2 linked regions of the Nothobranchius furzeri genome follow. The protein of the gene in region 1 interacts with the protein of each later gene in a pairwise test. Links are inferred from orthologs where the notes say so. Each region holds a gene or a part of one and is shown in the gene's direction. Other genes may lie near its edges.

The links.
Region 2: the proteins of cib3 (region 1) and enox2 interact in binary tests that used the Homo sapiens proteins (3 or more experiments, as listed by UniProt). The two-hybrid records come from large-scale screens. The link is inferred for Nothobranchius furzeri from reciprocal best matches to the Homo sapiens genes CIB3 and ENOX2.

Annotation. Positions count from the first base shown.
Region 1 is NC_091751.1:45,121,518-45,125,517, forward strand, and holds the end of cib3 (calcium and integrin-binding family member 3), read left to right. Parts: intron 1-443; coding exon 444-478; intron 479-806; coding exon 807-918; intron 919-2,188; coding exon 2,189-2,336; intron 2,337-2,701; coding exon 2,702-2,897; intron 2,898-2,967; coding exon 2,968-2,989; 3' UTR 2,990-3,144; downstream 3,145-4,000. UniProt on the Homo sapiens protein: Acts a an auxiliary subunit of the sensory mechanoelectrical transduction (MET) channel in hair cells. Plays a role in regulating hair cell MET channel localization and function.
Region 2 is NC_091741.1:82,228,545-82,232,634, forward strand, and holds the end of enox2 (ecto-NOX disulfide-thiol exchanger 2), read left to right. Parts: intron 1-2,454; coding exon 2,455-2,586; 3' UTR 2,587-3,265; downstream 3,266-4,090. UniProt on the Homo sapiens protein: May be involved in cell growth. Probably acts as a terminal oxidase of plasma electron transport from cytosolic NAD(P)H via hydroquinones to acceptors at the cell surface.

The DNA of each region.
Region 1 (4,000 bases):
TTCTTTTAGTTTAATAATCAAATTTTTTACAGTTCATGAGGATGTTTTACTTGCTTTTGGTCCACATCTTGAAATGTTTGGACAACCCAGCTTTAAATGGTTAAAGACTTTGTCAAATATTTAATAATCAGCAATTGTTTTTTTTAATTTGCTATAACTTGACTTCTGCAGAAACAAAAACATTGTCACTTTGCTTTAAAGCTTGAAGTGATTCATGCGGTGAACTTTATGCTACGTTTATAACCATACGAGTTATCATAAATCCTGACTGAACATGATGCAACCAAATTTATTTGTGAGAACTTAGTGGTTCCTTTATTGTCAACTCTCATTTTGATCAGCGTTTGAACATATTTTATAGACGGTCTAAATAATTCCTCCTTACATAAACATACTCAAATGCTTATAAAACAGCTGTTTCCATTATCTGCTTGCTTTGGCAGGACTGTACATATTTCACAAGGAAAGAAATTCTCAGGTGAGGATCCAGATTTTTCCTGCTTCCACTGCTGAGAAGTACTAATGTGACAATCAGTTTTTGTGACTCTCAATGAAACAGAAGATACTTTTATTCAGGTCTGCACAAAACCAAACTGAAACCACAAGCTACACCATGAACGGACCGTGTCCCTGCTGTGGGTTCTAGGTTTCTGAAGCGTAACTTTCAGAGATGCATCTGACTTTCACTCTCATTGCAGAAAAGTTGCATAACTTTCCTTTATCAGGAGCTGCCCTTTCACAGTCTGCATTACATGAAGGATATTTTGTAATTCAACACTGAAAGTGACATTTGGAACCGTCCCCAGACTGTTCTACCGCTATCGGGATTTGGCTCCACAGCTCGTTCCTCTCGACTACACCAACCACCCAGATGTGAAGTTACCATACGAGCTGATCGGCAGCATGCCAGAGCTGAAGGTAGGCCCACACAAGCCCTGCAGACCCACTCACTCCTCTGTTCCCAATTCATAATTGATGACCAACTAATCGACAGAATTCTCTGGAAGGTTGTATGTTACCCGACTCCTTTAAACTTGAAGGATGCTGGTGGGTTGCCTGAGGGCACCCTTGTTAGAAATAACTCAATTATATGCCTCTTTACACAAAATATTGCAAAGGAAACACTCTATGGGGTGCCATTTGTAAAGACATATCTTAATATTTTTGGGTTATTTAGCCAATCATAAGAAAAAATAATGGGAGTTAATTTTTAAGTCATATTTTTACCATGTGATTCATTAATTTATAAACGTTAAATTTCCCAACTAATTTTTTATCCCCAAATTTTTTATTAATTTTCAACTTTAACGCATTTCACAAGAAAAAAAATGAAAATATGCATCACACAAATCTATAAAAGAGAAAAAAAGAAAAGGATAATAAAATACCAAAAAAAGAAAAAAGGAAGGGTGTCCAACATTAGAAAAACTACAATGAGAACTAAATATTTAGTTAGCAAGCTTAACATTTAATTTAGATGTAAATATTTCTTTTACTAACAAAATATTTTGGAGCTAAATATTCGTTCCAAAATAAATATACTTATTTAGAAATTTATTTTCCATACTAAATATTTAGATGCCAGCTAAATATTTTTTGTGGGGGCTAAACCAAAATTTTGATTTTGCAAACTAAATGTTTAGCTCCAAAATAAATATTTAGCTGCAGATCTAAAAATTAATTTTGGAAATTAAATATTTAATTTTGAGCTAGATATATATTTTGGAAATTAAATATTTAATTTCGAACTACATTTTTTTTTGGGAAATTAAATATTTAGTTAGTAACTTATTTGTTTTAAAAACTAAATATTTAGGTCTGACCTAAATAATTGGTTTCTAAAACTAATATTTAACTTTAAAATAAATGTTTAGCTTGCTAAATAAATATTTAGTTGAGAACTTTAACATTTATAAATGTATGAAAAACATGGTGAAAATATGACTTTAAAAAAATACTCCCTTTCTGATAGGCTAAATAACCAAAAATACTCATGTTAAATTATATCGACTTTACAAATGACACCCCATAACTGTGAAGTATTTAAATCATTATTTAGTTCAAGCTTAACATTTTAAAGCTACTTTTGGAACATAAATATCTAAATAATAATAATACCATAAAATAAAATTTGTTAACGTTTTAATATTTTAGCCGAAAATCGAAAGTTTGGTTGGTGTCTGTTCAGGATAACCCGTTTCGACAGAGGATTGCTGAGGTTTTTTCCGAGGACGGACAAGGAAACATGACTCTGAACGACTTCTTGGACATGTTTTCAGTCCTCAGTGAGATGGCGCCTAGAGACCTCAAAGCCTACTACGCTTTCAAGATTTATGGTAAAACGTCAGACTGCATAAAGATTTTTGTTTTTCATAGATTTTGGTTATATCAAGGAAAGAAAAAATGTATTATATTTAAGATAATCCAATATATAGTCATAGAAATAAAGCATCAAATTCATCCGTTCCATTATTTAATATAAAATGAAGGGTTTTAATTTCATGAATATTAAATTAGCAATATATTAAATGTGAAATTAATAAAAATTTAATTCAATTAAAAAATTAATACATTTAATTTTAAAATGTATATAAAGAGCTGATAATTTGGATTATATTCAACAAAATGTTTTTATTATCTTGAATGTTTAAATCAATCCGTGTTATTTTTCTACCGTTCCTCTTTATTTTTTTTAAATCAGATTTCAACGACGACGACTTTATCTGCAAGTCAGATCTGGAGAAGACCCTGAACAAGTTGACTCGTAACGAGCTGACAGAAGACGAGGTGAGGATGGTGTGTGAGAAGGTGATCGACGAGGCGGACCTGGACAACGACGGGCGTCTTTCACTGGAGGATTTCCAGCACATGATTGTCAGAGCTCCAGATTTCCTCAGGTATCGTAATAGTGATACATAAAATGACGTGTAAAAACATGCATTCATGTTAAATTTTTCTTGTCCACAGCACTTTCCACATACGGATTTAAGGAGTTCAAAGAGGTTGAATCCTATTCTTGTAATTGATGGACTGAAAATGGCATTTTTTTATTTTTGGGGATTTAGTCCAGAGATTTTAAACTGCAGAAATAAAAAATTGAGTCTATTAAAAAAAAGGAGACCAGCTAAATTGATTTATTATATCTGAAATAACAGCAGCTTCTTTTGCCATCCAGCCAATTAAAACACTGAAATAAATTACACAAATGAAGTTTTATTTCCATTTTTATTAATAAATCAGAAGTACACACCTACAGCTTGTAGATATTCTTTATATAGGTTTAAAAAGTAAACTTTAACCAATTTGTTTTCTTTTTCAAGTGATATTTACAATCCCCACTTTCTCACTCTCCCTTGAACGTCACGCTATGGAATTAAAAGATGGCTGTTAAAATAAATGTATGTTTACTGTAACATGTGATGAGAATCTTAAGAAAAAGATATGTTTAAAAAAGTCAAACAAGTTCATTCAAAACAAAATATAATCTGCTTATGTTTGTGTTAAAGTTGAGCCACACACACACACGCACGCACACGCACACAAACACACACACACAGTAACAAAGATCCACATATTCAACTACAAATTACACACAGGTCCAAAATTCACAATGCATAGCTCAGCTATGACAACTGGTGGTTAAGACAAATGGTCACGTTAAAGGTCCCAAACTGCTGCTGAAAGGTGCAGAACATCCTCTCCAAACCGTGGATAGAAAATTCTGGTTTTCAGACAAAAAAATGGAAAAGGAGCGAGACTACAGAGCACATTTTAGAAAATAAACTTGAGCTTTTGTTCTCAAACTTAAATTATGACTCAGTTTTAAGTTTGGATGGATTCTGAAGAGGCTAACTGTGTATCTAGCGCCACCTAGCGTCAAACTCAAGAGGGTAAAACTAGAATACTTCACGTGAGAGCCGTTTGTCAGGCTGCAGCTTAGACGTTCAAATTCTTCACTTACATACAGTAAATATATCTGTTTATATAAACTACAAGGTTA
Region 2 (4,090 bases), on another chromosome or scaffold:
GTCAGTCTCTCGTTCCTAGCTCTAGTGTTTCTTGGTTCTTCTCGTAGTTTCTAGTATTTCTGATCTCTGGTTTATATTTTTAGACATTTTGGATTTTTGGCTTTCAGCCCTTTGGATTTATTTTTATTTTTGACTCATCCTGCAAATAAAGGGATTTTCTTTATATATCATCTCCTGCCTCGTGTCATCCTGGGTACTGCATTTTGGGTCCTACCAACACCGTATCCTGACAGTAGATGAACATCCAAAGATTATTTTCTGAGTTAGATCCAAATCGGCCCTGTTGTTCATGAAATATTCTGCTGACAAACACTCATTATCACCACCTGCCCAGGATTTTATATTTACTTCTACCATCTGCTGTTCTAGAGAAGCGCTGATTACCTGTTGACAGCTGACTCCTGTGTGTTCATAGCAGGTTATCAAATCTCAGATTAAAGCAGGAGTCTGAGCTCACCAAGCTTCATTAGTAGACTCTTAAAATCAGCTCCGCAGAAGCCAGTAGAGTCTGATGTAGTCGATTCTCTCCATCAGCTCTTCACCAGCTGTCCTTTAGATTTACCTTTCAGACAAGAAGAAAGCATCTCGCTGTAATCAAACCTGGAGATGAAAGCATGAATGACCTTCTCCAGTTCTGATAACAAGTGAAAAGACTTGATCGTAGCTTCAGCTCCTCCGTGATTCAAACACTGACGCTCTGCTTCAGAGGCCTGAGAGGAATACAGCAGTTATTGATCAATAAGCAAGTCAAGGATATGATGTTGGATGTTTGAGGCAGTCCAAATGAGACCGGTTATGAGTTATATCATTATGGGGGTACGCAGCATGAATAAACCGGTAATTAAGGATGTTCGATGTTATCGGACAATATTGGCATTAAAATGTAATATCGGAAAATATCGGTTTTTACTCCCAACCCAACTTTTACATACCATGCACATGTTGTATATAAACTCTTCAGTATAATCTCCTCTCGCTTAAAAATGTCAAAATATGACTGATCTGAGGTTTAGTTTTGGAGATATTTTAGTTTTACTGGCACAACTTGTGAATAATTAGGAATTTGTCCTAGTACTTGTAGCACATGTAGCTTTGTAGCTAGCAAACTACTAAAAGAAACACAAGAATCTTCACCCAAAGCTTGCTTTTCTTAACTGAAGAACCTTATAGGTGTCTTACCCAGTGTGCAATTTGGGGGTGGGGGGGATCCCTGGGGGTTAAACTTTTATCCATGGGGGAGCACTTTTTTTCAGGCTAGAGGCTAATGTAGAGCTAACAAGTGGAAAAAAAATAGTCAGCTCTAAAAATATCTCAAACTACTTTACCAACAACTCGATATTACAGTGAAGTGTATGTGTGAGGTAAATAATGAGTCAACCGTGGCGTTTTACTTGCTTTAATTAGTGGTTCAGAGCTATAACACTAAGATGGCCGATACTTATGCTGGAGAAATATTACCGTAATAACTGTAGTGAGTGTTTCCAAAACAACCAAGAGTGCTAGCACAAGACATGACATGTATTTATCTACTTATCAACTTGCTGTGTATGACTCGTCTTTGCTTGTCATCTTGCATCATCTGGTGCTGATCCGTAACTGGCAACAGCCATGTAACTCACAGAACGGCAGTGAGAAAGGGACCATTTGTTTATAAAAAGGGACTGCAGTAACCAAAATTGACCACAGGATGTCTATCTTACTTTATTCTTACATATGGTACCTTTAAGAGAGGTACATTTGTGCTTGTTTTCTGTTAGCTATTGATGTTTAATTATGAGGTGTGAGTCATAGAAATAAATAGTGTGTTGTGGGAATTCTCATCAGATGTTTTCAAGGAAAATGGTGAATGTATACCAGACGTTATTTGAAAACTGTCAGTGAAGAACAAACATAACAAACTAACATGTCTGCAGCACACAACACAGCAAACTGCTCATAATTATAAAAGCTGCAGCTGTTCTCTTTAGAGAGTTCAGATAATGGTGCCGTGTGCGTGCATGGCCCATATGGTTTGTGTTTGTTTTGAACGGACTTCTCTTTCGCACTTGGATTTGGTTTTATTACTTTTGTTTTTAAAAGAACACAAGAACAGCTGGATTGGAGCTAATAGCTAAAATTACAATTAGTAGTGTGGTCATTTTAATAAAATGTCATTGAAACTTGAAAAATCTGCTCTGATCTCAGACTGTAGAAGGACTTCCACCTGCAAATCAGTAGTGTCCAGTCCTGATCCTCAGACATGTGGGGGACACCATCCTGCATGTTTTAGAGGTTTGTCTCCCCCAACACACGTGGTTTATACCAGTGGGTGATTAGAGGACATGCTGAACAGGTGTGTGGCTTTTGAGGACCAGGATTGGACACAGCAGCTGTAAATGTGTGATTGCTATTTATATAGATCACTTATAGTGCAGTATGGCCGTGTTGCTCATGCTTGTGTTCCTGTTTCTCCAGATCAATCCCAGTGAGGTGGAGGCACTCCTCTCTCGGCTGCCCTGCACCTTCCGACAGGAGCTGACCGGTGTTGGAGCAAGTCTGGAGAAACGCTGGAACTTCTGCGGTTTCCAGGGCATCAAGAGTACTTAGGACTGTTGGGTGACACCATCGGGACATGACGACAGGCAGCAGAAACACCGTAGCAATGTGAAAGTAAATAAAGTACACATAAAAAAACGCTCAACTATCAAAGACTCAGGACTGTACCTTACTGTACAAGGATACAGAGGAGACTGATCTTGGATCAAGGGGGAACGTTGTCTGAGCACTTCAGGGACTGTGTGTAGGTGGCAGAAACTTTAAAAACCCTGTTGCTGTGGTAACAGGGATGTTGATGCCAAGCAGCAGCGATGGAGTCCTCTGGAGCTTGATCTCTGCGTTTTTCTCTGTGTCTCCAAAAATATTTTAAGACTTGTTGACTCCCTGGAGTCACAGAAAAGTGGATTCTACCATCATTGGATCATTACGTAGTGTCGCCCCAAAAGGAGCCGTGCTATCTGAGCCTACGCGTGGCTCTGTACGACGTGGACCAGGTCTGCAGGGCTAATCAGGGAGGAAATCAGGGTCTGACTGAGCACTCGGATCCTGCAAACCCTTTCCCCCCCTTCTCTTTTTGCTGTTCCCGGTTTGTATCATATATCAAAAATGAATATATTTCTCCATATTCTGTAAAGGCTGTCAACCGTTGCATAGAATCATTTGTTGTAATACACTGTAAATGCTTGAATAATATTTTTGATTATAAAAGACGTTTGAGTATAAAAAACTATTTCTGTGTTATTGTCTGCTTTGATTAAAGACTGACATGCGCTACATCTTTCAGCCTGCCAAACCATATCAGACGCACTCACACACACACACACACACACACGTACACCTGCACTACCTCTGACTTTGTGCTCATTCTTGCTTGAAGAGCTGTCTTTTTTATTTAATTTTTTTCAACGTTTCTTCTTACTGAAGCCGTGCCCAAGGCTGGCTTTAAAATGTTACATAAGGGCATTTGTGTCTTTCAAAAGCCAATTAAGCCCGGCTGTCAGCCTGGCAAAAGGCAAAGCGCTAGCATCACACTTAAGTGGGAAGCACACCGAAGGGATCATGTTAATAATGTTTAGTTGGTGAGACAGTCGGTGTGTGTGTGTGTGTGTGTGTGTGTGTGTGTGTGTGTGTTCTGTGGCAAGGAGTTTAACAAAATGGTATTGTTTGTGCACATATCTATATTAAAGGGTTGTGGAGGGGGAAGTCTTCACTTTCAGGAGATTGAGAGCTCAGAAATGAAGGTTGTACCCCCCATCCCCCAGATAACCCAGCCACGCATCGCTAACACGTCTCCACTGGGTTCTTTCTCTCTGTTGCTCCTGGAAAAAAAGGTTAATTATATGTGATTTCCTCTCGTTTAAACTCCACAATCTCCTACCACCTGTTTCAGAAAAAAATCAGCACCTCTGCACTTTTTAGCGTACCAATTGGTGGAAACCATTCTTGTTGGTGCTATGTGTGAAAGTATGCACCTTCTCAGTCCATTATAAGTAATCAAATGAACAATTGGAAATGATTACAATTCAAAAACAATAATTTCCCTTCTCTGAATAAG